Alligator mississippiensis: one gene and its partner. The main gene of each other region encodes a partner of the protein of the gene in region 2 in a complex. Links are inferred from orthologs where the notes say so. Each region holds a gene or a part of one and is shown on either strand. Other genes may lie near its edges. The genes, in order: CASP2 and YWHAG.

What was found.
Region 1: the proteins of YWHAG (region 2) and CASP2 are in contact, whole or in part, in a crystal structure (PDB 6S9K), measured with the Homo sapiens proteins. The link is inferred for Alligator mississippiensis from reciprocal best matches to the Homo sapiens genes YWHAG and CASP2. Residues at the interface, in NP_036611.2 of Homo sapiens: Glu15, Asn43, Val47, Arg57, Arg61, Lys125, Arg132, Tyr133, Pro170, Gly174, Leu177, Asn178, Val181, Glu185, Glu213, Asp214, Lys217, Asp218, Leu221, Ile222, Leu225, Asn229, Leu232, Trp233; in NP_116764.2 of Homo sapiens: Asp137, Leu138, Ser139, Leu140, Pro141, Phe142, Pro143, Val144, Cys145, Glu146, Leu150, Lys152, Lys153, Leu154, Ser157.

The regions. Positions count from the first base shown.
Region 1 is NC_081827.1:153,828,832-153,844,089, reverse strand, and holds the start of CASP2 (caspase-2), read right to left. Parts: upstream 7,184-15,258; 5' UTR 7,012-7,183; coding exon 6,862-7,011; intron 1-6,861. UniProt on the Homo sapiens protein: Is a regulator of the cascade of caspases responsible for apoptosis execution. Might function by either activating some proteins required for cell death or inactivating proteins necessary for cell survival.
Region 2 is NC_081837.1:16,881,057-16,895,650, reverse strand, and holds the start of YWHAG (14-3-3 protein gamma), read right to left. Parts: upstream 6,643-14,594; 5' UTR 6,470-6,642; coding exon 6,383-6,469; intron 1-6,382. UniProt on the Homo sapiens protein: Adapter protein implicated in the regulation of a large spectrum of both general and specialized signaling pathways. Binds to a large number of partners, usually by recognition of a phosphoserine or phosphothreonine motif.

The DNA of each region.
Region 1 (15,258 bases), on a different chromosome or scaffold from region 2:
AAGAACCAACAAGCAAACTTATAATAGATATGCCAACCAAAATCTCTCTCGATTCATTCTAGGAGTCACAAAATGAAATAAGAAGGTAGTAAGTTTAAAACTAACACAAGAAAGTTCTTTTTCACACAGCATGTACTTAAAAGTGTGGAACTCTGCCACCAGATGTTGAGAAAGCTGACAGTTTAACTACATTCAAAAAGAGATTGAACAGATTCTTGGCGGGAAGGGGTATCAGTAGCTATTGGGCATGGGAGTGAGGGGCACAGCCTCTGAATCAGAACGTCCTAGATCTTAAACACTAGAGGCAGCAAGTGAGAGAGGAGCAATGGAAAAAGCCCTGGTCCTACCCAGTTCACTCTCCATTTCAGCATCCACTTTCTGCCACCGTGCGACACATGCCTATCTGATATGCCAAGGGTGATGGGCTTTGGCCCATCATTAAAAACTATAAACCTCCCTTGAGAAGGGAAGACCACTGGGGACATATCAACTGAGTGTTTGGGACAACAATAACAAAAAAACAGGAATAGGAGTGAGGTCATAAGTTAACAACAAGGGATTTGAAAGGGGACACTGAGCTGAGCACACCAGTCAGTGCCCAATGCCCCCAAAAAAGTCGGGGGAGCCTGTGGATGCTGACCAGTGAAATTGCTCGGAGATGTGAGCGGAGTGCCAATTAGACAGCCCCACACTTGCCCAGGGTGCTACCCTGGCCAAAGCCGCCTTCCTGGTCTTACAGATGGTCAGTTTGGCCAGAGCCAGGAGGAGGTTGACTAGGAAGTCCCAGGACTTGCTGGGGCAGCGGACGGAAAGTACATAACAAAGGTGTGGGGAGAAGTGCAGCCAAAACCTCAGCAGGAAGTTCTGGAGGAGGCAGAAGAGGGGCTGCAACCTGGCACTCAAAGTAGGTGTGTGCCAGGGCCTCCCTCTGTTGAGAAAACAGGCAGGCGTCAGGTGTTCGTAAACACGCCCATGGCAACAGCTCCATTCAGGAAGTGCCAACTGAGGTCCCCAGTGGCTCATGAGATCAAGGTGGAATAAGACTTGCCCACCGGGGACCCTCACCCCCGCCTTCACCTAGGCTGTCTCGCTCGTTGTTGGGGCAGGACACGAGGACGGGATGATGGACAGTGCAGAGTACAAGCATGTAGAGCTGGTGGCAGTAGGCTGTTCACAGGCAGACCAGCTTGGTACGCCACAGCATGCTAAGATGTTGGGGCAGGGAGCACAGTGGGGCCTGCCAAGGCAGCAGCCTCACAACTATCTCCAGAGGGCTGGGGAGGAGAAACTGCCCTTACACAGGACCTGGTCAATGTAGGCAAGGGCAGTGGGCAGCAAGGTTTACTTCCCAGAGCAAGCAGCAGGGAACACGCAGCACGGGCAGCTTCACAAGCCAGCACAGAAGGATGCACCTATCCCTGCCTAGCATAGTCTAGAACAGGGTAGGCAACTTTTTTTAGCTGGAGTCCCAAAAAGCCCACAATGTCTACCATGGAAGGTGCCAGAGTGCCGGCATGCCAGAAAAACAAAAGGGGGGGGGGGGCAGTGGTACATGGCAGGACGCACTTCATATTAGTATACTTAATAACCATAAATGTTGCCTCTGTTGTTGTGTACTTTTTTTTGTTCAGCATGTTGCGGTGAGAGAGAAAAAAGAAAAATAAGAGAAAGAGGAGAGAAAGAAGGAGAGAGAGAAAAGAGAGCAGAGAGAGAATCAGGCACATACACACACACACAGAACCACATGTGCACAAACACAGAGAACCAGAACAGACACATGCACACACACATCCAGAGCCAGACATGCGTGCACACACAGACGCACAGAACCAGAGGCAGACAAACATACAGAACCAGATGCATGGGTGCACAGAGCCGGGCTGCTGGGCCACCAGACAAAGTCCGACCCAACAATGCCCTGGGCCTGCCAGAGCCCCTGTGCTTCCTTGGGGAGCCAGCCCCCGGGCTGCAGTATGGCCAGCCGAGGCCCCGGCCCAGAGCCTACCAATCAGCCCAACCACCTACCCACTCCACACACCTAAGCCCACAAATGTGCGGCACTCCTGGCAAGGGGCAGTGCCAGCCTCATCCCAGTACAGCGGCTGGGCCAGCGCTGGGCTTGGAGCAGGTAGGAATCAGGCCAGCTCAGCTGCAAGCCCTGCTGCAAGGAGCCCGGCTCCGTAGTTGACAGCAGTTACCCAGAGCTGGGGCTGGCTGCAGCCAGGAGTCTGCAACCAGCTGCACGCGTGCCTTGTGGGGGGGGGAGGGGGAAACAGGCCTGAGGCAGCACAACCCCAGCCTCTCCCCTGCTGCCGGCACAAAGCTGATGACTGAGCTCTGGAGCCTGCAGCAGCTGCTAGTTGCCAGCCTGGGCTCTGAGCCACTGCAGCAGGCAGGCTGCAAACAGCTGGGCCAGGCTCCAGCATCAGCTCTGTACTGGCACGTGCACACATGACTTGGAGCAGGCTGCGGGAAGGGCCCAAGGCAGTGCAACTCCAGTCTCTCCCCCGCTACCAGCAGGCTCTGGAGCCCAGTGCAGCTGTTTGTAGCCTGCCTGGGCTCTGGGCAGCTGAATCAAGCAGCAGGCAGGCTCTACAGCTCCGGCATCAGCTCCATGTTGGCAGTGACTGTGCGTGTAGTTCAGAGTGGCCATGTCTCTGGAACACATTGGCATACGCTGACAGAACCATGCTCGTGGGAAGCTCCTCAAGCACCAGCCCCACCACCCACTTGCGCAGGAGGCAGAGGAAGGGCTCGAGGGCAATGGTAGAACTAGCCTTACAGCGGGCAGCCTTGATGCACTCCCCAGCTGAATGGGATGGGCTCCATCAGTATCCAGTTGTGCTGGACCATACGCTCTGCAGAGGTGTACAGCACCTGGAGAAACCAAATGAAGCAGGGACCAAAGCCAAACACCCTCTCAGCATGCCTGTGAGGTAGCCAAGATCCGCCCTGTCAAACACCATCTTCTGGTCAAGGGACAGGAAGGCAAATGACAGGCTGTCCCTACAAGCAAGCTTGAGGAGATCCTGCACTAGGTACAGGATGCTGAAGATGGAGCTCCCTGGAACTGTTTACATCTGGTCACATTCACCCACACATATCTCAGGTGCAGCGAAATGGCTTTTGCTATGACCTTGCAGTCTGCAGAGAGAAGTGAAACTACGTGCCAGTTCCTCAGGTTGAGGGAAGAGGGTCCCTTTTTCTAGCCAGCAGGGTCAGGACAGCCCTCCTTCACAACAGGGGGAGCTCCCCATCCCTTTCAGACACAGCCCAAACCCCAGCTAGGTCTGGGTTGAGGACATCCAAGAAGGCACAGCAGAACTCCACAGTCAGTCTGTCAATGCCCAGAGCTTTGTTGGTGGGCATCAGATGGAAAGCATCCAAGAGCCTGGCCAGGGTGACAGGACACTTGAGCAAGTCCTGGTTGACCAGGAAAACCTATGGCAGTACCTTCCCACAGGACCTGGCAGCCATATCAGCATTGGCCAGATATGATGAGAAGAGCTCTGCATAGAAAGCCCTCACCCTTCGTTGCAGTTCACCAGAGTCCATGAGGTAGGTGCCATCCTCCGTCAGGAGACAAGTGATGTACCTCTTGGCACCCCTCCTCTTCTCTAGAGCACAGAAGCAGTAGAAGCCACAGTCCAGTCCACCTCCCAAAGGAGCTTGATGCGTGAGCAGATGAATGCACCGCAGGTGCAGCAGTCATGCAGAGCACAAAGCTCCTTCCCCCTCTCAACACTCTCCACGCAGGGATGCATAGTTTGGGTCAGCAACCAGGCAATTCTCCAGCTCCTGAACTTCCCTCTTGAGCTGCTCTCTAGCAGCTGTTAGGTGCGCCCCCGATGTAGAAGCAACAGTACTGCCTGACACAAACCTACCTCATGTCCCACCATCTCTGGGTCAAGGGAAATGCTTGCCGCTGCCTGCACCAGGCCAGCCAGAACTCCTGGAAGGTGACCAAAGACCACATTTTCCAGCAGGCTGTTGCTAAAATGCCAGGAAGCCAGCCTTGGATGCTCAGGCTGCAGAGTAACCTGAGTGCATACCAGATGATGGTCACTGAAGGGGGCCAGCCTAGTGCTGGAGGCATGGACTTGGGCGGTATTTAGCATGGACCTGGGCGGTATTTAGCATGGACCAGTAGATTCAATTCAACTGAGTAGATTCAATTCAACAATTCAGGGTATCCGTTACTCCTCCACCCTGACAAAGGTGAAGGTGGTGGTGTTGTCAAGATGGTTCACGCACCTGGGTGGCATTGGTGCCCTCCCCATAGTCCTGGGGAAGGGAATCCTCCCCATCGGGGCCCACTGGCACGAGCCCCTGGACTCCCATCTCCCCCAGGTGGTCGGAGTGGGGGTCTCTGCCATCAGACCTGCCCCAGGGTGGCTGGGGCTGAGGTCCAGTGCCTGTAGTAGTTGGGGGCAGGTCAAAGCCGGCTGAGTTGGGGGGAGGGAGTCTTCTCCATAGGCTAATCTAACATAGGATGGCCTTGCCATCCTGGGCCCTCTTCCATGTTGGTAACAGTTATCTTTTTTATTTTTCCTGGAGGTGGGATTCCTGGTGCAGCTCGGGAGGTGGTGGGTATAACATCAATGTCAGCCCTCCTCTTGGATGGTGGGAGGGGGAGCCTCCTTCATACTGGAGGGCCCAAGCTGCGTCTGGGCTTTGCACTTTACCTTGCAATGGATGGTAGATCACCACCCATGTGGGACCAGCACCCAGCCAGCCTCAGGGTGGCCTGAGGAGGGGTCTTCCTGAGATGCTGGAAGTATCGTGGGGCTAGGAGGGAGTAGCAGTGGTGGGGGCTGGTGTGCCCCCCTCCCTGCTTTGGGACCCCACTGGTGGCTGTGGCATTGGGGGGGGGGGGGGGTGTCTCCTGAGCTTGCCAAGGGATTGGATGCTAGGGCTGGGTTGCCAGTGGTGGTGGTACCTCTCTGCTTGGGGGGTGGGAGTGCTGTGGTGCCCCCCATCGCTAACTGAGGGGACATTCTTGGCAGAGGTGCCCCAGTACCCAGTACCAGAAGTACCTAACTTCCACCACCATATAGTTAATGTGGTTGAGGGACCCCTGGAAGGAGACAATAAAGGTCCCCCCTTCACCTCCAGCTGGATGGTGACTTGACCATACACTATGCAGAGGCATACAGCACCTGAAGGTGGTGGAAGGACTGGATGTGGGGGGAGGTTGGGGTCCTGGCACCCCAGCAGGAGAGTGGTGACCAGGGATAGAACTCTCCCCAGGCTTTGCAGGAAGGGCATGAGGGCCCAATTAGGGACGTAAGGGGGTGGGGCTGAAGACCACCCGAGTTCCCAGCTCCTCCAGGGGCTTGAGTGGGACACGCTTTCCCCCCCACACTGCAAACCTCTTCTCTGCCGCTTCCTGTATGGCAGCCTCCATGGCAAGGTAAATGATAACCTTGCGGTAGTATCTGGAGACTGTCAATCTCCAGGGGCCCCCACTGCCTGAGTGAGCTCACATAGTTCTCAAACGGTGGTGGCTTAATCTCAGGCATGTCGCAGTGCACCCCACTGTGCCTGCTGATGCTGGGGAGGGGACCCCAACTGCCTGAGGATGTGTGGGCAGAAGTGGAAGAGGGCCCAGGCTCCGAGGCTGCAAGCTTCCCTGCAGCCACCTAGGAATAGCTCCAACTGCTGAGCTGAGCAGCCCTGCTTGCAGAGATGAAGGAAGACTGAGTGGGAGGGGCACCTGCAAGTGTTGCTAACTGGACTTTCTTTGTAGGCCCTTTACTCTTCCCACCCCCTGTGGAGGAGGAAGAAGAGGAGCCCTTGCCCTTTCCCCTGCCCTGGTTGGGCTTGGGGGCTCCATGGCCCCCCTCGAAGAGAGACTGGCCAGTGGGGAAACCCCTGCCCCTGCAGGGTCTTCCCCAGCATATTGGCAGCTCCCTCAAGGGACTCTTGCCATATCATGGGAGGCTAGGTTGGAAGCAGCGGTCGCAGGAGAAAATATTATGTGGGTGCTGGGGTTGCGAGTGCATGGCAGGATGCGGAGAAGTAGTGCAGAGATGCCCCTCCCCCTCACTCGGGGCTGTTGCGGGGCTGATGCATGGCAAGTACACTGGGCATGCCAGTGGTGCTGGAGCAATGGAGCTGCGTTTGGGGGGGCTAAGCCCCATTAGCCGCAGCCTTCTGCTGCCTATGGTGGGAAGGAGTCAGGTGGGGTGTGAGGGAGGGAGCTGCATGCTCCTCCTCTGCCTGGAAGGAAGAAAGTGGCTTGCTGTGGGGTGCAAGGTGCCTCCGCAGGCTGTACTGCAGGGGGGAGGAGGGGAGCTGTGGGGGGGAACACAAAAAGACAACAGGGACATATGCAGAAAAGAAAGGGAAGCATGCTGCTGACTTAGCGGATCACAAACACCAGGAGAAAGGAAGTGGAGCACAGGACCCACCACAGGAGGGTAGACACAGGGGTTGCTCCTAGACCAGCTAACAGGCAGACATTGCTGGTGGCGGCATTGTGAGGTCCCCTTTGGCTGCAGGTGGCCCTGGTCATGCAGTGGTCGTGAGGCAGGACCAAAGGAGAGAGGGCTGTAGGTCCAGCAGGAGGCGAGGGTGGGGAGAGCAGGAGCCTGCAGCAAGCAGTTCCTCAGGCCCCTGCTCCCTGGCCCAGCTGCAGCATGGGGGGGGGCGCCCCTGGTGGCCATATGAGACGGAGCAAGATGGAGCTGGGGCCCGACCCACGAAACAGCAGCTCCTCTATTCTCAGTTCAAGCTCACAAGGGCCCGCATGTGAAATGCCGCATCCCCGCGCCCTAGCCCGTGCCGTGGCCGGCTCCCGCGAGGCAGACCAGGTCCCGCAGCCCGGGAAGGGAAGCGGAGGCCGAGGCCCCGCCCTACCTGGATGGCCTCCTTCATCTCCGGCGTGAGCACGGCGCGCGCCAGCAAGTGCTCCAGCAGCTCCTGCAGCACCAGCTGCTTGGCCAGGGGCACGCGGTGCCTGCGCAGCGCCTCCTGGTGGCACGGCTGCATCCCGCACGCGCCCGACATCGGCCCGGGCTGCCCCGCGCCGCGCCGGGACTGGGGGCTGCTCCGAGCGCTCAGTGCGCCAGCCCGACGGCCCCGCGCCCAGCCCGCCCAGCGCTTCCGCCCCGCTTGCCAAAGCCCGTGTCAAATCAGCGCGCATACGCGGCCGCGCCCAACCAGCTCTGCAACTCGTGGTCACGTGAGCGCCTGCGCGCGAAATCTCCACTTCGCCGCCATAGCGGTTTCCGGCACGGAACAATGGAGTCCCGTGTACGCGTGCGCCGCTGTTCTTGTGGCGGAGTGGTCGCGTGCAGCCCGACCCAGCAGGAGGCGAGGGTGGGGAGAGCAGGAGCCTGCAGCGGGCAGCTCCTCAGGCTCCTGCTCCTTGGCCTAGCTGCGGCATCGCAGGAGGGGAAGCAGGCGGGAAGGCGGTACTGGACGCTGTGAAGAAAGCACAGAAAGCCCCTGGCTGGGAAATCCCGGGAATCAGGGGTTTTCTGGGTTTGATGCCCACTCAGTGCTTTGGTCTCGGTACAGTACGTTGCTGCGAGGTCCCTGCCGTAGCCTACTCGAAAGGCATCAGAACCAGTTCAGAAAGACGGTATTACAAGAGTACGAAGCCCATGCGGATGGCTCACGCGTGTCCTAGAAATGGTAGCAGCGTTTCAAGGACTTTGAATTTAGTAGATTGCCAGCGTGTCCTCCCTTCCCCCCCAATGCCCTTGAGGCTGGTCCCTAGAGTGGCTGGCAGGTGGTACGTGGTCTATGATAACCCCAGGGTGGGGTGGTGTTTACCTGGTATAGGCAAGGGACTTGATCTCACAAGGAAAGCATCACTGTGGAGGGTCTGGTAAGAAGTCTAGCTAAGCCGATTCAGTTCCCTGCCAAGAGAGGTTTGCTGTTCTTGCGGGCGTGAGGGACCCACTCCTTCAAGCATTCTCAGACTCCTGGCAGATGTGAATATAATGCTGTGATTGGGATCTGAGGAATTTCGTGCCCGATCCCTGAAATCGCATGTTCTTCCATCCCAGACATGCATGAAAGGACATGTGATTTTTGGGATGGGACATAAAATTCCTCAGATTCCAGTTGTGTAACTGCCACAGCCAAACTGGACCAAGCTGGGGGCAGCTAAGTCTTGGATCTCAGGGCTGCCTCCTGCCTGATCCCAACCCTCAGTTGATCATCAGGATCAGATGTAGAGCAGTACCCAGTCCCAGTTTGAGATCCAAGGATCAGGTAGGGGTAGTCATGTCCTGACCTTGCCTTATACCTGATCCCAACAATCAGCTAATTGGGATCAGGCATAGAGCAGTCCCAAAACCTGCCACGTGCTCAATTTAAAGTGATTCAATCCACATTTAATATGGAACATCTCCATGGCTGGTTTGCTATTTATGAAGTCATAAATTGGCTAATATGTCGCATCTAATTAATCACATGATTAACAGTTTTCTTGTGCAATAAATGAAACATCTGCCAGGGCCTTCCAGCCCATATTGGTTCAATATATAGTTGAATACTTCACAAGGATAGGTTTCTAACTCCTCTGGGAAAATGAGGGTTTGTGAATTAGCTGAGAGTATGTATAGCTGCTGCAATTTCATAGATTTCATAGACATTAGGGCTGGAAGGGACCTCGGAAGATCATCGAGTCCAGCCCTCTGCCCAAAGGGCAGGAAGTCAGCTGGGGTCATAGGATCCCAGCAAGATGAGCATCCAGTTTCATCTTGAAGGTGTTCAATGAAGGCGCTTGGACAACCTCTGGTGGCAGGCTGTTCCAGACCTTGGGGGCTCGGACAGTAAAGAAATTCTTCCTTATGTCCAGCCTGAAACGATCTTGTAGTAGTTTGTGACCATTCGTCCTCGTCATCCCTTGGGGCGCTCTGGTGAACAAACGTTCCTCCAGATACTGGTGGTCATCCCTGATAAACTTATAGGTGGCCATCAGATCACCCCTGAACCTGCGTTTTTCCAGGCTAAAGAGCCCCAGGGCTCTCAGCCTGTCATCGTAGGGTCTGCTTCCCTGACCTCTGATCATGCGCATGGCTCTTCTCTGGACTCTCTCAAGCTTCTCCACATCCTTTTTGAATTGTGGAGCCCAAAACTGGACGCAGTACTCCAGCTGCGGCCTCACTAAGGCCGAGTACAGGGGGAGAATGACGTCCCGGGATTTGCTTGAGAAGCATCTATGGATGCAAGCCAGCATTTTGGTCGCTTTACTAGCCGCAGCATCGCATTGCAGGCTCATGTTCATCTTGTGGTCAATGATGACCCCCAAGTCTCTTTCTTCCATAGTGCTAGCCAACACAGCACTGCCGAGCCTATAAGGATGCTGCGGGTTTTTTTTCCCCAAGGTGGAGAACCTTGCACTTATCGGCATTGAACACCATCAGATTCTCATCCGCCCACTTGCTGAGCCTGTCCAGGTCAGCCTGGATCATCCGCCTGTCTTCTGGTGTGGATGCTTTGCCCCAAAGTTTGGTGTCATCTGCGAACTTGGCCAGTCCGCTTCTGACTCCAGCGTCCACATCATTAATGAAGATGTTGAACAGTATGGGTCCAAGGACAGAGCCCTGGGGGACCCCACTGGTCACAGGACACCACGATGAGTGACTTCCAACAATTACTACCCTCTGGGTCCAACCCCGGAGCCAATTTTCCAGCCAGTGGATCGTGGAGGACCCAAGGCGACAATTGGCCAGTTTCTCCAAAAGACGATCATGGGACACCAGATAGAAGGCTTTTTTGAAGTCAAGATATATGACATCAATCTCATCTCCCTTGTCCAGGTGATAGGTCACCTGGTTGTAGAAGGAAATGAGATTGGTCAAGCAAGACCTACCCGCAACAAACCCGTGCTGGCTATCCCTTAAGATGTTGGCGTCGGCCAGTCCATTAAGGATGGCCTCCTTAATAAACTTTCTAAGATCTTCCCCGGGATAGAAGTCAGGCTGATGGGCCTATAGTTAGCCGGATCCACTTTCCTCCCTTTCTTGAAGATAGGCACCACATTGGCCTTCTTCCAGTCTTCGGGCACTACACCAGAACACCAAGAGTTTTCAAAGATCCGCGCTAGGGGCTGGGCTATGATGCTCGCCAGCTCCTTGAGTACCCTGGGGTGAAGATTGTCAGGGCCGGCTGACTTGAAGGTATCCAGCTTCTCAAGATGTTCCTTCACAAAGTCAGCATTAATGGAGGGCAGGGGATCACCCTCACCCGGACTTCCCGGCCCTGTAGCGGGCATGGGCATCCCATGGGGCTGATGAAAGACTGACGCAAAGTACCTATTTAATAGGTTGGCTTTTTCCTGAGTGTCAGTTGCCCCATCTGGTTCAGCAGGGTCCAACATTGCCCCTGCTTTTCCTCCGGCTCCCCACATATCTGAAAAAGGACTTTTTATTGTCCTTGATGCTCAAAGCTAGCTGGAGTTCAGTTGCAGCCTTGGCTTTCCTGGTCTGCTCCCTACAGGACCAGACCAGTGCAGAATAATCCTCCTTGGAGGTGACTCCCATCCTCCATCCTTTGTAGGCCTTTCTTTTTAGCCTCAGGAGGTCTGCTAGGTCCCTGGAGAGCCAGGGGGGCTGCTGTGCCCTCTTGCTGCCTTTCCTCTGAGATGCAATAGACTTAGTTTGTGCATTGAGGATCACTCCCTTGAGGAGCAACCACTCTTCTTGAACTCCCCTCTCCCTGTGGTCACAGTCCCTTAGGGCCTCACTGACAAGCCTCCTGAGCTTGTCAAAGTCGGCTTTCCTGAAGTCAAGGACTTCCGTGTTGCTGATTTGCCAGCTTTTCGGCGGATGGTGAAGGTGATCAGCTCGTGGTCGCTGTCACCCAGCTTCCCATCAATCACTAGGTCGCCGACTAGGTCATCCCCAGTAGCCAGTACCAGGTCGAGCAGCGCTTTGCCTCTCGTTGGCCCATAGACTTCTTGAGTCAGGTAGAGGTCATCCACGTACAAGAGGAAGCTCTGCGACCGCTCAGATTTTGCTGAGCAATCCTCCCACGAGATGTCCGGGTAATTGAAGTCACCCATGACAACCATGGCCCTGGAGCAAGCTGCCTCAGCCGGTTCCTGGGCAAACTCCTGGTCAAGCTCAGGACTTTAGGTACAGAACCAGTGAATTTCTGAGTGGAACTTCTCCAGTCAACTCCAGTCAGACCACTTCTCCAATCAACTGTATGAGACCACTGATGAGCTTCAGCTGATAAAAGAAACAGAGCCATTTGAGGTAAAATCTGCAGCAAAAAGCTGAATGGGTTCACTTTAATTAGGCAACCCACTGCAAACAAATAATTCAGGTCCTGTATAGTTCTACTCTTCCACCCACTCCGAAGACTTATTTTCTCTGACTTCATACAAGTCTTTAATTTACTCTCTGCATTTAAAACTCCTCCCCCAGATAGATTTCAATATGAAGGATTCTGGGAGGACTCTGGGAGAGACTTTCCACTCAGCTGGAAATTACAAGGTGTGATAGTCACAATATATGTTACCTGAGATGCTTATGACCAAAGGGACTATGGTTTTCATGGAATCATGAGGTTAGAAGGGCTATCAAAGGTCATTTAGACCACCTAGTTTTGTAGAAACACATTCATTTCTTCTACCCTCAGGCTCCAAAAATCCATTGTTCAAATAATGCCACCTTTTCCTCTAGCCCTGGTCCTTTTCATAAGATGACCAAGTCAGCTGCCCAATGGAGTGGTGCTGAATGGTTACCCACTATATTGCAGGGAAACGTTAGTTTCCAATGTGAGTTGATTTTTCTTAATCTAAATTCATAGGGCTGGATTTTTTAGAAATAATTTATATTTATAGAGCGTTATATATTCAAAGTGCTTCCAGTCATTAACTAATTACATTTCACAATGCTGCTATGACGCAAGTATTATTATAGGGAAACTAGAGTGACTCAGCAGCAGAAGTAGCAATTGAATTCCTGCCCTAGAGCTATGGCTATCCAGAAACACCCTAGAAGTAGGAGATAGCTTAAATTAGAGCGTTATGTGGCTCACTGGGATATATTCCCTTTCTTAATATAAAAGACAAGGTATCTAGTCTTTATGGCTGTAGAGCTAAAACTACAAGTGTGAACAAGTTATATAACCCATGAAGTTATGTCTGTCCACATCTTCAAAAAGCTTGAAATCAATGTTACTGTAGCCTTCTATTGCTCTGATTACACAGTTAGCTCTAAGAGCCAACAGTGCCACTTAGCCACTGTCAATATTAATTTCTTAGTCACGTTACCTCTTTTAAACCAAACCGTTCAAGGCTCTGCAGATTGTTTAACAGAAGGATTAATTAATGACTGAGGCAGCTTCGACGCAATCCTTTTCATTTAAAGATGATGTACAAAGTCCTGTTTCCTTGAACAAAAAGGAATCAACTAATAGAAAATTAATTTGCTCTCAACTCCCAAGACTTTCAACCTGCGCTCAGCCAACAAGTTCTTATTCTGGGGTTTTCCTCATGGCCATAGTCGGTGCTTTATGGCTTTCTGCCTTATGCATACCCTGCCACTAAAACAATATGTATTCCTCTCCAATATAGTTTGGCTTAGTCATGTTACACAGCTTACATATGGGCAATCTAACGTGACATCAAAGAGCCAGACCCCAGGGCAATGAATCATGGGTCAATGACTGGCATTAAGGTCAAAAGCCAGCAGAAGCCACAGACAGAGCAACACTCATGAAGACTACAGTTGTGCTAAGGAGTCTGCAGGCCATTTTTCACATGGTTCAGTTGCCTAGTTCAGCCTATGAGGTAGCATGCAGGTAGCCTGCCTGACGCACCAAACTGGTCAATCAGACAGGGCAAGGGTTGCACGTATATTTTTTGGTTTGGGTAGTAGCATGTGTCTCTATTTGGCATGGAGGCTACTGAAAAAATGTTAAAATGTTGGGCAGACACTTGACTGGAATGTTTTAGTTAGGAATGATCCTGCCATGAACAGGGGGCTGAACTAGCACTGCTTTCCTTTTGGGTCCCTTCTAGCACTGCTTTCCTTTTGATCCTATAAATCTGTGGTATGTGTACTTTTGTACACATCATCAATCACCTTACCCTTAAGACTAAATCACAAAAAGCAGCAAGCAGGGGGATCTATTTCCCCCCCACCCCTTCCCCTTGAGCAGGGTGGAATAGGATGACACTTAGTGCCTAATAGATGGAATATAATGTTGTTCTATGAGGCTAAAGGACTGCCAAGTAAAGCCATCATGATCTTCCCCTTTGACTTCCTGCAAGTTATAGGCTACAGAACTTCTTGCAGTAATTAGTGCATCTAACTCAATGAGCTCTGGTTAAGCTATAGCATACCTTGATTTAAAGACTTCAAGTAATAGAGAATCTACCACAGCCCTCAATGAGCTGCTTTAGTAGCTCATTACCATCGTTCTTAAAACACCAAATGTTATTTCATGTTTGAACGTTTCTAGCTGTGCCCTTCAGAAATAATGTAAGACCACCTTGTACATGTCAGCTTAACTGGCTGGCCTTTTGGTAGTGCAGTCATCCCATTCTACTTGCCAGGCAATCAAGCAGCCTGGCGTCTATTTTAATTTCTGCCAAGACTGTAACTGCAGTCAGGAAACTTCAGTACAAATATTTAAAAAAACCAGGCTACTAATTTGAGTGCTTACATTCTGAGGCACTTAGCTTGATTGAAAGAAGTACTGAATTCCTCTAACTTAAATTGGAATGAGCAGAAGTTGCAGGTTCTGAATACCTCTGAAAATCATACCCTTTTATGATTCAGTTTGAGTTCCCCAAAACTGCAGCATTCATCAAACGTGGACACTTTTAAGAAAGTTGAACTTCACTACACTTCAGTTTCTTTGGCTTCAAAATGTGGGTAATAATGCTTTGTCACTATTTGTCAGGAACTTTGAAAAAGTACAGATCAGTTACTGTATTAACCTTCCCTACATTGAGCTAGTAAAATGACTTTCCAGTAGAGGGCAGCAACATCTTCCCTCTTCACTGTAAGGACCTGAAAGTGTAAACCTCAGTTGACACCACTTTGTTACTGTAGAGTCACTAGTGATTATGCTAAAGAGGAACACACCTATGTACAAATTGTATATCTGTTGTTGGAGATTCATTCAAGTGCACTGGGGATGCTATGTGCATATTAATCCTGCTCTGCTGATGCCTACAGTGCCTGAGTCGAGAAGCCCTGCAAGAGATAGTAGAAATCAGGCTTGACATGCTTCCCCACTGAAGTCAAAGGGGGGCTTTCCATAGGACCCACATACGAAAGGGAACCTCATTCTATCCTGTGAGAGGCACAAACACAGCCTGGAGAATGACTGGCTGGTCTGTAATTATTGCAGAGAAGGACCTGGGAGTTGCCAGGTTCCATGAGCCTCAAGCTGAAGCTAAATATGAGCCAACAGTGTGATCTTATTGCAAAAAGAAAAACAAAACCCTAGCAAATTGGGTTATATTAACAAAAGTGTAAATTGCAAATAGAAGGAAGTGATTCTTCCATTCTGTTCAGCACTGGTGAGGCCTCACATGGAGTACTGCATCCAGTTTTGGACCCCCACACTTCAAGAAAAATGTAGATCGATTGGAAAGGGTCCAAGAGGGAGCAACAAAAATTATTGGAGGTCTGGAAAATATGACTTATGATGAAAGGATGGAAAAACTAGGATTCTGGAAAAGAAAAGTCTGAGGAGGGATTGATAATCATAGTCTAAAGTAGAAGGCAGGGTACATTTTCACCTGAAAGCTGCGTCCCCACAAGTGGGAACGTATAGTTTGTGGCACCTCAAAGCCTTTGGAGGCACTGCAAAATGCACATAGTGCTTATGATTCCATGCAGTGGCAAAATTAGCTACCAGGAAATCATGGTACCTAAAAAAACTATGTCACAAAAAGGAGTGCAGCATACATGGCTGCAGTATGTACCACCCAAACCTAAGGCCTAGCCACCCAGAGCCACACTGGCTGCTGGCCAGGCTCCAAGTGGCAAGTTCACTGTTGCTGCAGCCCTGGGAGGCCCCCAGGACCCTAGGTATGGGTTCTGAGGCCAACCCAGGTGCTGGCCCCAGCCTTCCCTATCCTACCTGGGGCAACTTGCTGCATACCAGAGCACATGTGCAGGAGCATGTCTGGTAACAACTATTTGTTCCTGGGGAAACACAGTCCTGTTCATGGGAACGTGCCGTAAAAGACTAACCAAAGTAGGTTTTGTATACATACATGCACACACATATATAGCACATGTTTTTGTGAGAAGAAGCTGACTTCATCAG
Region 2 (14,594 bases):
CCTGGAACAGGAGCCGCTGGGACTGAAGCTTCCTCCCGACCCAGAGCTGTGCAGTAGGGGCAAGAGTTGGAAGAGCCACCACTGGAGGCAAGGGGAGCTGAGCAGCATTCAGGCAGCTGCAGCCACAATGGGAATAGCCCCGCCAGAAGCTGTACGTGCTGGCTGCGGCCAGGCAGGAGCACGGTGCTCTCTGCTTATAGCAAGGCTCAGCCCCATGCTGAGTTCAGTGGGGGCAGCCGTGGGCCAGATTTAGTCAAGAGTTTTCCTGCCCATGTTTAAGCCAGCCTTGCTTGCTACATTGTAGTCTGCCTTTTTACCCCAGGGTCAGATTGGTATGGACTGTGAGGGTTTCTGCTTTCTTTTAGAATAGGGCATGATTCTCTTCCTATCTCACAAACATATATCAATAACTTTTACAGCAGCAGGCTGTTGGCTGCTGTGATCCCCTGCTTTACCTGCGGCAGGTTAGGGTGTTACGTCTTGTTACGTCTCAGGGTTAACTCTTAAAACTGTAGAGTCAAGACAACGGATTTGTAGAGGATAGTTTAGGTAGGGATGATCCTGCTTTTACGAAGGGGGTTGGACTACATGAGGTCCTTTACAGCTCTAATTCTCTATCATTCCAGGTCAAGTTCTATACACCCCAGCACAGCCACCAAAAATGTTTTCTATAACATTTCTGCTCACAAAAGGTATTTATATTCATGTATGGTGCCACACAGACTACAAGGGAAACCCAAGGGAAGAAATCTACTAATCTAGTTAAAGATTAACAGAGATTTGCTGCCCCCATTTCCTTGGCCTACCAGGTGAGTGGTTACTTGTTCACAGTTCACGCTATGGGGCTTTGCCTACTTTTAGTAGAACCTGGAAGCAAGTTAACTAATCATGCAAAACATGGCTTTAAGTAATGAAGCATTCAAGGCTACAAGCAACTGCTCTGTTATGCTTCAGTGATAGCTATCTTGGTTGACCCAGGGACCTCCAGAGCTGGAAGTCAGTCTCTACTTCGAGAGCCAGGCTTTAAAGCCAAGAGCTGTAACAGACCTCAGACTGTTGACTGGGGTCAGACAGGAACGTAATCAGTAGCTGCCTTTACCTTCTCGTGTCATACAGAGTTCAGACTAACCTTCAATGGGAGCATAATCTGGGGTTCTTGCCTGGATAGCCTTATCTTTGTAGCCTTTATGCCTAAAGCGAACACAAAAAATATCACAAAGCAAGCAGGCATTACATTTAAGGGCTCCAGCTCTTTCAATATTGCTCTGTCACTGGAATACTCCATAATACCTAGAGACGCTAATATTACTTGTTATTACTGATAGCATGGTTACAATTACGGCACGGCTTTCCACTCGTATCTCACAGCATGCTGGATCCAACTTCCAGGACATGTCTAGTCAAACATTCAGGAAGTGACAAAAATTTAATTTTAGCCAGTTTAGCAAAGCTATGCCCTGTACTGTTTTGGCAGTTGCCTACTTTACTGCAGAACTCTGGAATGGTGCATCATAAAAATATAGTCTTGCTGCAATTCTTCAGGGCATCCAGAAAGGGGTTCATGACTGAGGTACTGACAAGAGCAGTAAAGAAGCCCAGAAATTCAAAGATGCTCAGAAAGCTATGGAAAACCATATGCAAGTTTAACCTTCCAATAAATTTAAACCTTTGCAGGAAGTAAGGTGCTGGCCTGTGAACCTCCTCCTTCAAGCTCACAGCAAGGTTACAAATGCTACAAGATCCCTTAGGGCACAAAGGGGCCAACAAGCATCCCTGGACCTTTTATCAGAGCTATGAATTACCAGATTTTTTTTTCCCAGGTGCAAAGACTGAAAACAAAGCTCACTGAGCATTTACCCCCCCCATGAACTATTAACAGGAAACAAGGTGAATGAATATTATTTGAGACACACTACTACACATTAGCAGATATCATAGGTTGTGGGAAGGACTGGTAGTTGTCAAACCAAGCAAAAAGAGGAAGAGATAAAGTTAAATGCAAACAACTGCTTGCAAGTTAAATAAATAAATAAAAAGGAAGAAAAACCTTCAGCTACAACTGTAATATTCTAGAAACATCAGGTAGTTTCATTGACTCCTGGGTGTTTGCAAGTTCTTCTCTTTGCATATTTAAGTAGCAAGATTATTGCAACATGGTGATATTACATGGTTCTAAGCCTCAATACTAAGAACTGTTCCTCCTCTTGTTTCATTCTCTGCAGTCCTTTCCTTTGTGGCTTCCTTACTTCTCATCACTCCTCTGCAAGATGTTGCCACAATCGCTTCCAACTCTTTCACTTCTGAGTTTTGGGAAAGTCAGCAAAAGGCTTTAAAATTACTCACTCTCAACTTCAAGATCCTGCACAGCACCACTGCAAATCACATCTTTGCTCTAAGCAATCCTGCTCCTACCTACCCAGGCCCCAAACCAGCTCAGTTCTTGTTTACTCACTCATTTTATACTTTTCCTGTGCCTCAGCTTCCAACTTGACCCTTGAACAACCTCAAAATATCAGAGATGTACTCTTTTAGACCCCTCTTGATGCAGTAGATCCTTAAGGTGCATGAGAAAGGAGGGGGAGGAGGGAAAGAGGCAAGAATGTTGCATCTTGACCTGTGTATCTAAAAGAGGCACATAGTTTGGACTCTCACAGAGGGATAACACTTCATGCCAAATGGTGCGTTTGGATTCCTGGAATGGGGTAGCCCAGTTGCCATCAGATAATGACATTTATGGCAAGGTCCACAAGCCATACCTAGATTCTATTCTTCCTAGGAAGTCAAGATTTTAGAAGCAACTTAATGCATCCTGCAACATTTTGGACTACATGGAAATTACATGTTTTAGAGGAGACTAGATAGAATTTTTCTATATAGAACCTGGGAAATAGTTTGGACTGGTCTTGTGCTTATGTTATAAAAATAGAAGTGTTGCAGCCCCTATAAAAATATAACAACTTACAGAACAAGCCTATTAAATAGGAAGACCAGGCCAGGAGCTTTAAAAGGCTAATGATTCCATCCTTCAGAAAATAGTTTTATTAAAACAATGAATATCTGAGACATACACCCCATTTTTGCAGGTGGGATGGATGGATGGATAAGTGCCAGGACTGTACTTCATATGCACACACTTAGGAAGGAAACAATTTCCCAAGCATCACATGACTTGGATGGTTGGCAGGGCTCCACCTCCAAAAGCCTGCAAAGATGTCACTGCTCCATTACTGCTAATGGATATTGATCAAGCCACTACAGCATAAGCAGATGCATCACACAGTAAACTCTAAACCAAGTTAAAGCTAGCCTCCTGGAGTAGCCATTCAGACAAAAAGCAACCTGCACCCACTTGAGGCATTAAGGACAATTTTTTTTCCACTAGGTCAAACTTAAATTTAAAAAATACATGAATAAATAGAAGGAATAAGAACCTTGTCAGTGACGTGCTATTCAGAACCCTAGTTGCCTTTTGAGGGGACTCCCCTCCCCCACACAAATCCCTTTCTCTGGTTTGCAGAAATTGAGGGGGGTACCAGTACTGAATGACTGATTAGCCAGCAGAATCCAGGAACAGACTTGTCAAAAGGTCATTCATTATAACTTGTGCTCTGGGCTCATTCTGTGCTCTTCAGAGACTCTCAGACCACCATACCGAAGGGTAATAGCCCCATCTGTATGGGTGTATGAAGGGATGGATGAAGCGATTTGCCCAAGGTCAGCCGGCAGGTCAATGGCACAACCAAGACTAAAGCAAGGCACTCTTGTGCCCTAGTCCAGTACTGTATCTATCCAGCAATATTACTTCTAAAGGTACTCACTCAAGAAGCCAGTTTTCCCCTGATCCTTCATAGCAATTAATGCAGCACAGGAAGTACCACACTGCTTCAATTGAGCATAAACTATCCACTATCACTATCCAGCTTCATTGGCATTACCCAAGCACAACAATGGATTTGTGTAGTTAGCAAATTTAAAAACCAAGTTTATCAAGTGCCTACTAGATATTCAGATGTGGAGATGATAACCAAATAAGGAAACATTTTTATTCAGTTTTGTACACTCCACTGCAGTAATAGGCTGCCCAGTAGATGATGTGTTTAGAAAGAGTCCAGCATGCTATGTCCAATAAGAAACCCTAACTGCAATTATTCTATTTAAAAGCTTCCAAGGAAGTATGGGTTGGGTTTGTTGAATTAAGTGACTGAAGGCTGCATCACAAACCCATTAGTCATTAATAACATTTAATCTTATAATTGATTTTCAAAGATGTGACTATGTTCTTGTGTGTTAACTACTGCACTGTACTTGAGTTTGCACTAAAAACAAAAAAACGGTGCCACTGCTTTCTTTATATACAATCTTATAAAGAAAGACATGCAGCAAGTGTGAGAGTGGTGGTATTCATGCTTGATCTAATGATCTGTCAGGAATGATTTGTCATGCATTAGTTGTCAAAAGATATATGAAAGATCTATCATCTAGTTTCTGGGAGAACGTTAATCCCACTGGATAACTACATGGTAACATTTCTGCATCAATTCTGAAATATGCAATCTGCATGCTCTCTGCTACCACCTGGGTGCAATGCAGCTTGTACCACTGCTTCTGACATCACTGCGTTGCTACGGAAATGAGTCCGAGGTCACAAGCCTCCTGCACAACTGGAGATGGGGAGGGGAATGGGTGATTAGATGGGACAATAAATCAGTGCAACATGTCCAGTAAGATAGGACCATGCATAGATCCAAGTAGCATTTTCCAGGTTATGGGAAAAAAAAAAAAAGAGAAAGGAAAAGAAAATGAAATGCTGCTTGTGTGCACGTGTGATGTAGTAAGAGCTCGAACACCTCCAGTATAGTTCAGCTATAGGAAACCGATTCCAATGTACTGGAGATGCAACAGTCCAGATTGCCGTTTCATGATGGCCATTAAAAGTAATCATGACCTTTTATTAAGTCAGCCTTTTCCTTCTAAAAAAGAATACAGAACTGAGGGGGGGAGGGGAAGAAGCATACCAATTATATCTGTGGAGAAACAAATATATTGGAATAAGATTACTTTGCATTTAAGTCTATGTTCTGTTTTAGATAGCAGTAGCTATATATTACCTGAATAAAATATTTAATATTTGCACACATACATTTAAACCAAAGCTCAGGGCTCTACAAAAAAAAAAAAAAATTAAAATAAAAAAAAAAAAATGGAAAATTCAATCCTGCAGTAGAGCAGCTCATGTATTAAAGCCACCGAACCGCTGTCAAGCTCATTTTGTTCCGATTGTTCCACATTTCATTTATGGAGGTACAACTCCCATCCCATTCTCAGGCTGTGACAGTTCTGCCCATATGATAAATGCAAGGTTACTGACAAAATGGTGCAATATAAGCGAATGGAGCTGCATTCAAGAGACTGCGACATTCCTAGATCAGCATTCACTTCTCATCAGCAAGGGAGGACACCCCAGCTTCTCTTAAAGGCTCAGACCTGACCAAGAAGACAAATATAAAAGAACAGTTTTCCCCTTTAAAGCAACCCCTCCCTCCCTCCACCCAGTCTAGCCTCTCTGCAATATGACAAATGCAGAATCTTCTGGAATGACTTGATACTGCCTCCCACGATTGCTTTGTTTGCAAGATCAGATCAGAGAGGCTTTTTTTTTTTTTTTGTTAGATTGTCAAAAAAATGTGTGTCAGTATTAATTAAAAAGACACATTAAGGTGTCACAAACCAGATGGGTCCGCTAAAACGCAGAGCCTTTATTTTAAGAGCGTGAAATGAAGACAACCCTGACTCAGCTCAGAGATCTTGAAACGCAATTAAAAGGAAAAAAAAAAAAAGGAAGGAAATAAGCGTGAGCCATTAAAGACTTAGAAGTCACGGAGGACACCAGTCCGCGCTAGTCGTGGGAATCGGGCACCGAGCGGAGGATGCGGCTAGAGAGAGAGCCGGGCGGCGGGCGAGGAAGGACACGCATCCCTCATGTGGCTCGAGGCAAGTCCCTCCGAGGATCCTCAGCCGCCCTCTGGGGGGTCACTCCAGCCCCCGCGGCGGCGGGCAGGGACCGGGGGCGGCAGGGGACCCCGACACCACGGGGTGATTTTTCTAGATTTTAAGCCCAGGACTGAAGGCAGGCAGGCAAGGAGGGAGGGTGCGGGGAGGGGGCCAGGGCAGCTGGCGGGGAGGGCACCGCCCAGACACGGGGTGGGGGTGGGGTGGGGGGGCGACGGCATCTCCTCAGCTCCGAGGGCATCTCCTCTGCCCCGGGCGGGGGGCCGAGGGGAGGCACGGGCCTCGCCCGCCCGCCCGCCCGGGCCCTTTGTTGCACCCGCGAGGGGGGAGCGAGGGGGAGGCAGGCGCCGGGGCCGGGCCGGGCCGGACTCACGTTCTTCATGGCGGCCGCCATGTCATCGTAGCGCTCGGCTTGCTCGGCCAGCCGGGCCTTCTGCACCAGCTGCTCGCGGTCCACCATCTTCCCGCCGGGCGCGGAGCGGAGGGAGCGGGGCTGGGCTGGGCTGACGGCGGGAGGCGGCGGCGGCTCGGGGCGGGCGAGCGAGCGGGCGACCAAGGCGGCTCCGGCGGCGGCGGCGCCTCTTCCTGCTGCTGCTGCGGCTCCGGCGGCGGCGGCTGCACCCGCTGCTGTGCGCGCCGCGCCCAGGACACCCCCTACGACCCCGCCCCTACACGTCACGCGGCCCCGCCCCCCGCGCGAGGCACGCCGGGACTCGCAGTGCGCGGCGCCGCCCGAGGCGGACTCGCTCTCCCAGAATCCCCCGCGCCCGGGCAGCCCCCACCCCCGCCACGCGCTGGGCGGGGCCGCGCGCTCACACCGGAGCTGCTGGCAGTGGCCCCGGGGCGCCCCGCGACCAGCACGTGGTGCGGGGCCGTGTTCCCGGTGGAGGTTGCAGGTGGTTTTGGCACTCTGCCCCAAAAAACGTTGCTGACCCCTGTCCTAGAGCCATGGGAAATGCGGGTTGGAAGGGACCTCCGGAGGTCACATCTAGTCCAACACCCTGCCCCAGCAGGACCAGCCCCAACTCGATCATCCCAGCCAGGCTTTAAAAAACCACCAAGGATGGAGAATGCACCACCTGTCTGGGGAACCTGTTCCAAGACTTGTGATATTTGGGATCCTTCCTTTAGGCTTCAATTCCTTGGGGCAGGTGATGATGTGAGAATTGGAGCTTGGGTTTAAAAATCATTCGTTTCTGGCCCTCCTCGTTGCAAAGAACAACCTGACCAGAGCACACCTTAAAAAGCCAAACAGCTGCAAGGCAAATAAAAACCACAAAATGTCCTATTTTAAGCTCATGATTTTTAAGAGAAGCTCAGGATTTTTGGAGGCAGGCTCTAAATCTTTGGAACAGGCAGTGCTTGTACTTTGCTATGTTACAGAATAATTTGGAGGTTCAATTAATGTTTTAAAGAGCTTTGAGATACTTGGATGAACAGTACCATATTATAGAAATGAAAAGTAGTATTATGATTTGGCAAGGTGCCCTATATAGCACAAAAAGTTACATGGTGACAATTATAGTATCATATGTATTATTATATTATTAAATGGTGATACTATGTTGCTGAGTCACTGTGTCAGGGTAACTGCAGAGTGGTTTATTTCCCCCACCCAGTAATATTCAACAGTTCAGCTAGGAGGACATGGGGGGCGGGAATAGGGATGGTTCCAATCAATTTGGAAGGGAAAAACATTGTTAGGAATGACACCATACAATCCATGAGTGGCAAGCCAATGAGTGCATTATGTTAATTCATCAATTAAAAAATAAATAAAAAGGCATATTCATTATGTACCAGGGTAATCTTAACTCCACATTATGAATTTCATTGGAAAACTTAAAGAGAGACCTTTTTCCCCAAAAAGCCTGTAGACATAGCAACATGTATAAAACATTCCAGAGATTTATAAAAGGAAGTTTAGAGATTTCATATCAGAGAACAAGTCTGCAATGCACTAGTACTAATGCACATTTCCTCCAAGTACTTATTTTGAACCTGATAGCTTCACCTCCAGAAGTGAAAATTGAGTTGTCTCCATAGCCTGTTCTTTCCTTCACCCCCTTGATGAGACAGCCAATACATTTTTGGAGATGGATAATAAATGTCAGGTATAAACAGATGTGGTTATTAAGCAAGATGGCTGCCATAATACATACTAATAACCAAGTTTGGGGTATAAAAAGAATGTTCCCCTCCTCCAAACTATCTGGGAAGTTGGGGGCTTTCATTACAAAAGATATGGTCTCAATCATGAGGGATGCCATCCCAAATGTGCACCACAGATACCTACCCATCATAATGGTCATCATCACTAGTATACACTCACTAGGACTGAGACCAGCATAAATATGTTGCGATAACCCACTGTCCCTTGGTTTGATAACCATGGATGCAAGTGTGTACCCTAAGTACATTACATTAAATAATAATATATTGCCCTTTACATCCCATTCCACCTGAGGATCTCAAAATGCTGAACACACAGTAATGAATCAAGCCTCCCAACCACCATGTCATCTCCATCTTATGAATGGTTAAGTGACTTGCCAGAAGCCACAAAGCAAGTCTGTGGCAGAGCCAGGGATGGAATGAAGTCACCCTGCCACCTAGTCCTGTGCTGTAACTATGAGATCAGCCCACATTCAATTTCTGTCCCACAGTATCAGGAGAATCAACCTCTCAGCCTCCCCACTACCAACTCTTCCCGCATAGATATTGAGTTATTCACAGCAGCAGAGAATGAGGCATTTTAGCATTCATAGCCTAACAATGGCCATTAGTCCAAGTGCCTCATGTCCCCTCTGTGCTGAGAGGAAGGTTAGCCAGGAGCCTTCTTCATCTCCCAGCTGGGTTTCATACCCTGCTTTTCTTTCTTGGACCCTGGTTTTCTCCACCCTGGTGATGACTTACTGCTCTGATTGCTTTGCTGCCTGTTCCCCATTTTTCCCTTTCCATCCACCCATCTCTTCACTGCCTTCAGGCCCGCATCTCCCATCCCCAGATCCAGCTGCCCAGCCCCAACAGTTGCTCTCAGCTGCCATGGAACTGTCCAGCACCAACATCATTCTGTGCCTCCCCTTCATAGGTTTCATAGATTCATATACATTAGGGCTGGAAGGGACCTCAGAAGATCATCAAGTCCAGCCCCCTGCCCCAGGGACAGGAAGTCAGCTGAGGTCACAGGATCCCAGCAAGGTAAATGTCCAATTGACTCTTAAAGGAGTCGAGAGTAGGTGCTTGCACCACCTCTGGTGGCAATCTGTTCCAGGTCTTGGGGGCTCGGACAGGAAAGAAGTTCTTCCTTGTGTCCAGCCTGAAACGGTCTTGGAGAAGTTTGTGACCGTTTGACCTTGTCATCCCTTGGGGCCCTCTGGTGAACAGGCATTCCCCCGGATCCTGATGTACACCCCTTATATTCTTATAGGCAGCCATCAGGTCCCCCCTGAGTCTGCGCTTTTCCAGGCTGAAAAGTCCCATAGCTCTCAGCCTCTCATCATAAGGCCTGTTTTCCTGACCCCTGATCATGCACGTGGCTCTCCTCTAGACTCTCAAGCTTCTCCACACCCTTCCTGAATTGTGGAGCCCAGAACTGGACACAGTACTCCAGCTGCAGCCTTGCAAAGGCCGAGTACAGTGGGAGAATTACATCCTGGGATTTGCCTGAAGCATCTATGGATGCAAGTCAGAGTCTTGCTCACTTTGCCAGCTGCAACATCACATTGGTGGCTCATGTTCATTTTGTGGTCAATCATGACCCCAAGTCCCTTTCGGCCATGGTGCTAGCAAGTGTAGCACTGCCAAGCCTATAAGCACGCTGCAGGTTTTTCTTCCTAAGGTGTAGTACCTTGCATTTTTTGGTGTTGAAGGCCATCAGGTTTTCGTTCACCCATTTTCTGTGTGTGTCAAGGTTGGTCTGGATCACCATCCTGTCCTTGTGTGTGGACACTTTACCCCTAAGTTTACTCCCTTCCTCATGGGAGTCCCCTACAGCATTCCTCTCCCTGTGTTGTAGCAGCTGAGCAGCAAAGACCACTGCCCCGTGGGGACTGCTGTGTCCATCCTCCATCACATCCAGGCTGCACTACAACCTTGGGCTCCAAACTGGATTTCTCTCTAATTCACCACCAGACTATGACAGGTGGAAAAAACAGCTGTCTGCTAACTCCTCAGATATGCCTGAGGAAGTCAGCTACATTTGCTTCTCATGGTACTCACTTGGTCACTGTTACCTAAAACACACACATCAAGATCTTTGTACTTAAATATAAACCCCTTCATCATCTCAGCCTGAAGTACCCAAGAGGTCATGGCCCAACTTCATAACCTAACCAGGAATTTATGGCCATCTTGGTCAGGTCTGTAATCGGTTTCTAGGTTCAGTCAGGATGAGAACAGGTTTTTCCTATGTCAAGGTTCCTCAGCAGCTATCAGTATTCTTGCTGTTTCCCTGTAAACTCTGTGCATTTAAGCAGTTTAGAGAAATACCTTCTTTTGGTTTTATTTTTCTCCATTCCTTTAACCAGTTGGAACAGGATCCTTTTTCAGCAGAGCTTTGTGTTTTCTTGAATGCTGTCTGGCTGCCTTTTGTGTCTGGCACTGCTTTGCATTTATCCGTTACTGTATGGCTCCTAGATACCTCACACCAAACACCCTTTATGCAAATTACATACATGAATGAGAATTATGTGCAGTGTTATAAGTACCACACCTGGTACAGAATACAAAAATCGTGTTGGCATTCATGGGGTTAATAGCTGAAGTTGTATCCTGTTGTGTCCCTCTAAAATTTGGTGACAAGTTGTTGCCACAACTATTATGGAAGGGAAAAATCAATTTGAAATTCATTGTAGCATATTACAACAGTAATCAACAATAGTATAAGCACTTAAGGACAGTAACTCTTTTGAAAGTGGTGCTTTATAGATAATTATTAATAATATTACAAGGATTTATTCAAGATATTTTTGGTGATAGTTCCCAAGCCCAATAGGAATCAATTATTTTAATAAATGGTTTCTGGAGACTAAAAAGTATATGAGCTCATATCTTTTCCTCATATGATATGCAACAATTTTAGATGTCTGTTCTTTTTCTACTTCCTTTCTTTGTCTGTCTTCATGGTCTGTCACTGTCTAATTTGCAATGTAAATCTTAGGAACCATGGATAAAACCCATTGAACTCAACAGTCAAACTCCCATTGACTTCCACAAAGGAAGGCCTCTTAATCTCTGGATTGCGACATATTTGCTTATGGCTCTATCAAAATGCATATTGATAATAGATAATCTTAAATAGATAATCTCATATTTTACTGAGAAAATCCTGCTCTGTGTGTTGCAGATACACTAGAGGGAAAACCAGCAAGCAGGGACCCTCCTCCTTCTTGCGTTACACCTCTGCAGAGATCAGCATTTTTAAAGGCACCTAGTAATGTTGAGCATCAGTGGCTGTTTTTGAAAACATTTGCCTTAATAAGGGCCTTGAAGTCAGTGGAGAGACTCCCACAGAGTTACTGGGGGTTTCACAAGGTTTAGTTTAGTTAATGTTTAGTTGCACTGCTTGTATCAAAGGGGCATGGTCAGGTAGGCTGGAAGTGTAGCCTACTGTTAACTTCAGGAATAAGGCAGAGGCACATATCACTTCTCTCTTGAGCAGCCATGGGAACCACTGCTGAGCACATTTTGCCTCCCATCACCTTTAAACCACCCTTTTTTTTGACACAACACTCATCCATTCCCCAGCCCAGTCTGGCTGGTTTGGGTCTAGCTGGGCCCTTGGTAAGGAAAACCTGCACGGTTGCCAAAACACAAGTATCTGGAATAGCATGAAGCAGGACCCTTTAGCCATCTCTTACAAATATGTTTGATTCAGTTCCACGCTCACATGTGCTGTGTATTTGGCTTCATGGCATCTTTGGAGGTATGCCAGTATCTGGTATAAACACACACTTTGTCTTGTGCGTTGTTTACAGTTTCAATTTCCTATGGATACTCCAGGATATAGCATAGCAGTTTATTATTCTTTTATGAGATACACGGTATAGGCATTCTACTAGTAATGTTTACAATCTCTAGTTTAGAGCATTCAGCAGCATATTTTGTGATATGTCACACTTTATGTCTGGTCTATGCATGATACCCATACATAAAGAACATACAATATCGTAAGAGAACATTAAAGTTATCCGTGGGTTTAGCTCCTGTGTTTCAGATATTGTACCTGTTCCTCCCACAATCTTTTATAATTTATATTACAGCAGTGCCTACAGATTCCTGTGTGGCTTAGTGCTGTATAAATGTAAGAGACAGTACTGCCCTCACAGATCTTACAATCCCCAAGACAAAACGTAAGGTGTTTGTTGTGGGAGACTCCCTCCTGAGGGGGACTGAGGGGGCAATCTGCCGCCCCGACCCCTTAGCCTGGGAAGTCTGCTGCTTCCCGGGGGCCCGCATCCGGGACATTGCAGAGAGGATCCCAGAGCTCCTCAAACCCACAGACCACTATCCCATGCTCCTAATTCACGTGGGCACCAATGACATGGCTCGGAGCGCTCCCAGCCGGGTCATGAGGCGCTACAGGGATTTGGGAGCGGGGCTAAAGGGTCTGGGGGCACAGGTGGTGTTCTCGTCGATCCTCCCAGTCTCAGGCTATGAGCTGAGGAGGGAGAGGAGGATCCAGGTAGTCAACCAGAGACTGCAGCGCTGGTGTCGTCAGGAAGTCTTTGGCTTTCATGACCACAGCCCGCTCTTTGGTGAGAGAGGCAGCGAGCTGCTGGGAAGAGATGGCCTCCACCTCTCTCCCCTAGGGAGGAGGCTCTTCTCAGCCAGACTGGCTGACCTGCTCCACTGGGCTTTAAACTAAGCCCGCTGGGGGACGGGGGGACTACTGCCACTGCTGGCCTGCTGAGCAATCCCTGCAAAGCCAGCGGGTCAAGGCACTTAAGGGAGCCCACCCCTGCCCCAGCCCTGGTAAAGTCTGTGGGCAAGGACGGAGCCCCCCAGGGGACACTTGCCTGCCTGTACACAAATGCCAGGAGCTTGGAGAATAAGCAGGAGGACCTCATCCTCCTGCTCAGTGCAAATAATTTTGATGTCATAGGGATAACGGAGACCTGGTGGGACTCCACCCATGACTGGACCACAGGTATAGATGGCTATACTCTGTACAGGAGGGATCGTGTAGAGAAGAGGGGCGGGGGTGTAGCTCTCTATGTTAAGGAAAGCTACGCGTCCCTGCAAGCCGATATTGGCGACCAGGGTGGACGGCTGGAGACCCTCTGGGTTAGAATCCATGGGGAACACGGCACAGGGGACACAATGGTGGGAGTCTACTACAGACCTCCCACCCAAAGTCCTGAGCTTGACCAGGAGTTTGCCTAGGAACTGGCTGAGGCCGCATGCTCCAGGACCATGGTTGTCATGGGTGACTTCAATTACCCAGACATCTCGTGGGAGGATCGCTCAGCAAAATCCGAGCTGTTGCAAAGCTTCCTCTCATGTGTGGATGACCTCTACCTGACTCAAGAAGTCTATGGGCCAACGAGAGGCAAAGCGCTGCTCAACCTGGTACTGGCTACAGGGGATGACCTAGTTGGCGACCTAGTGATCGATGGGAAGCTGGGTGACAGCGACCACGAGCTGATCACCTTCACCATCCGCCGAAAAGCTGGCAAGTCAGTCAGCAACACGCAAGTCCTTGACTTCAGGAAAGCCGACTTTGACAAGCTCAGGAGGCTTGTCAGTGAGGCCCTAAGGGACCATGACCCCAGGGAGAGGGGAGTTCAAGAAGAGTGGTTGCTCCTCAAGGGAGCGATCCTCAATGCACAAGCTAAGTCTATTCTGTCTTGGAGGAAAGGCAGCAAGAGGGCACAGCAGCCCCCCTGGCTCTCCAGGGACCTAGCAGACCTCCTGAGGCTAAAAAGAAAGGCCTACAAAGGATGGAGGATGGGAGTCACCTCCAAGGAGGATTATTCTGCACTGGTCCGGTCCTGTAGGGAGCAAACCAGGAAAGCCAAGGCTGCAACTGAACTCCAACTAGCTTCGAGCATCAAGGACAATAAAAAGTCCTTTTTCAGATATGTGGGGAGCCGGAGGAAAAGCAGGGGCAACATTGGACCCTTGCTGAACCAGATGGGGCAACTGACAACTGACGCCCAGGAAAAAGCTAACCTATTAAATGGGTACTTTGCGTTGGTCTTTCATCAGTCCCATGGGATGCCCATGCCCGCTACGGGACAGGGAAGTCCGGGTGAGGGTGATCCCCTGCCCTCCATTAATGCTGACCTCGTGAAGGAACATCTTGAGAAGCTGGATACCCTCTAATCAGCCGGCCCTGACAATCTTCACCCCAGGGTACTCAAGGAGCTGGCGAGCATCATAGCCCAGGCTCTAGCGTGGATCTTTGAAAACTCTTGGCGCTCTGGTGTAGTGCCCGAAGACTGGAAAAAGGCCAGTGTGGTGCCTATCTTCAAGAAAGGGAGGAAAGTGGATCCGGCTAACTATAGGCCCATCAGCCTGACTTCTATCCTGGGGAAGATCTTAGAAAAGTTTATTAAAGAGGCCATGCTTAATGGACTGGC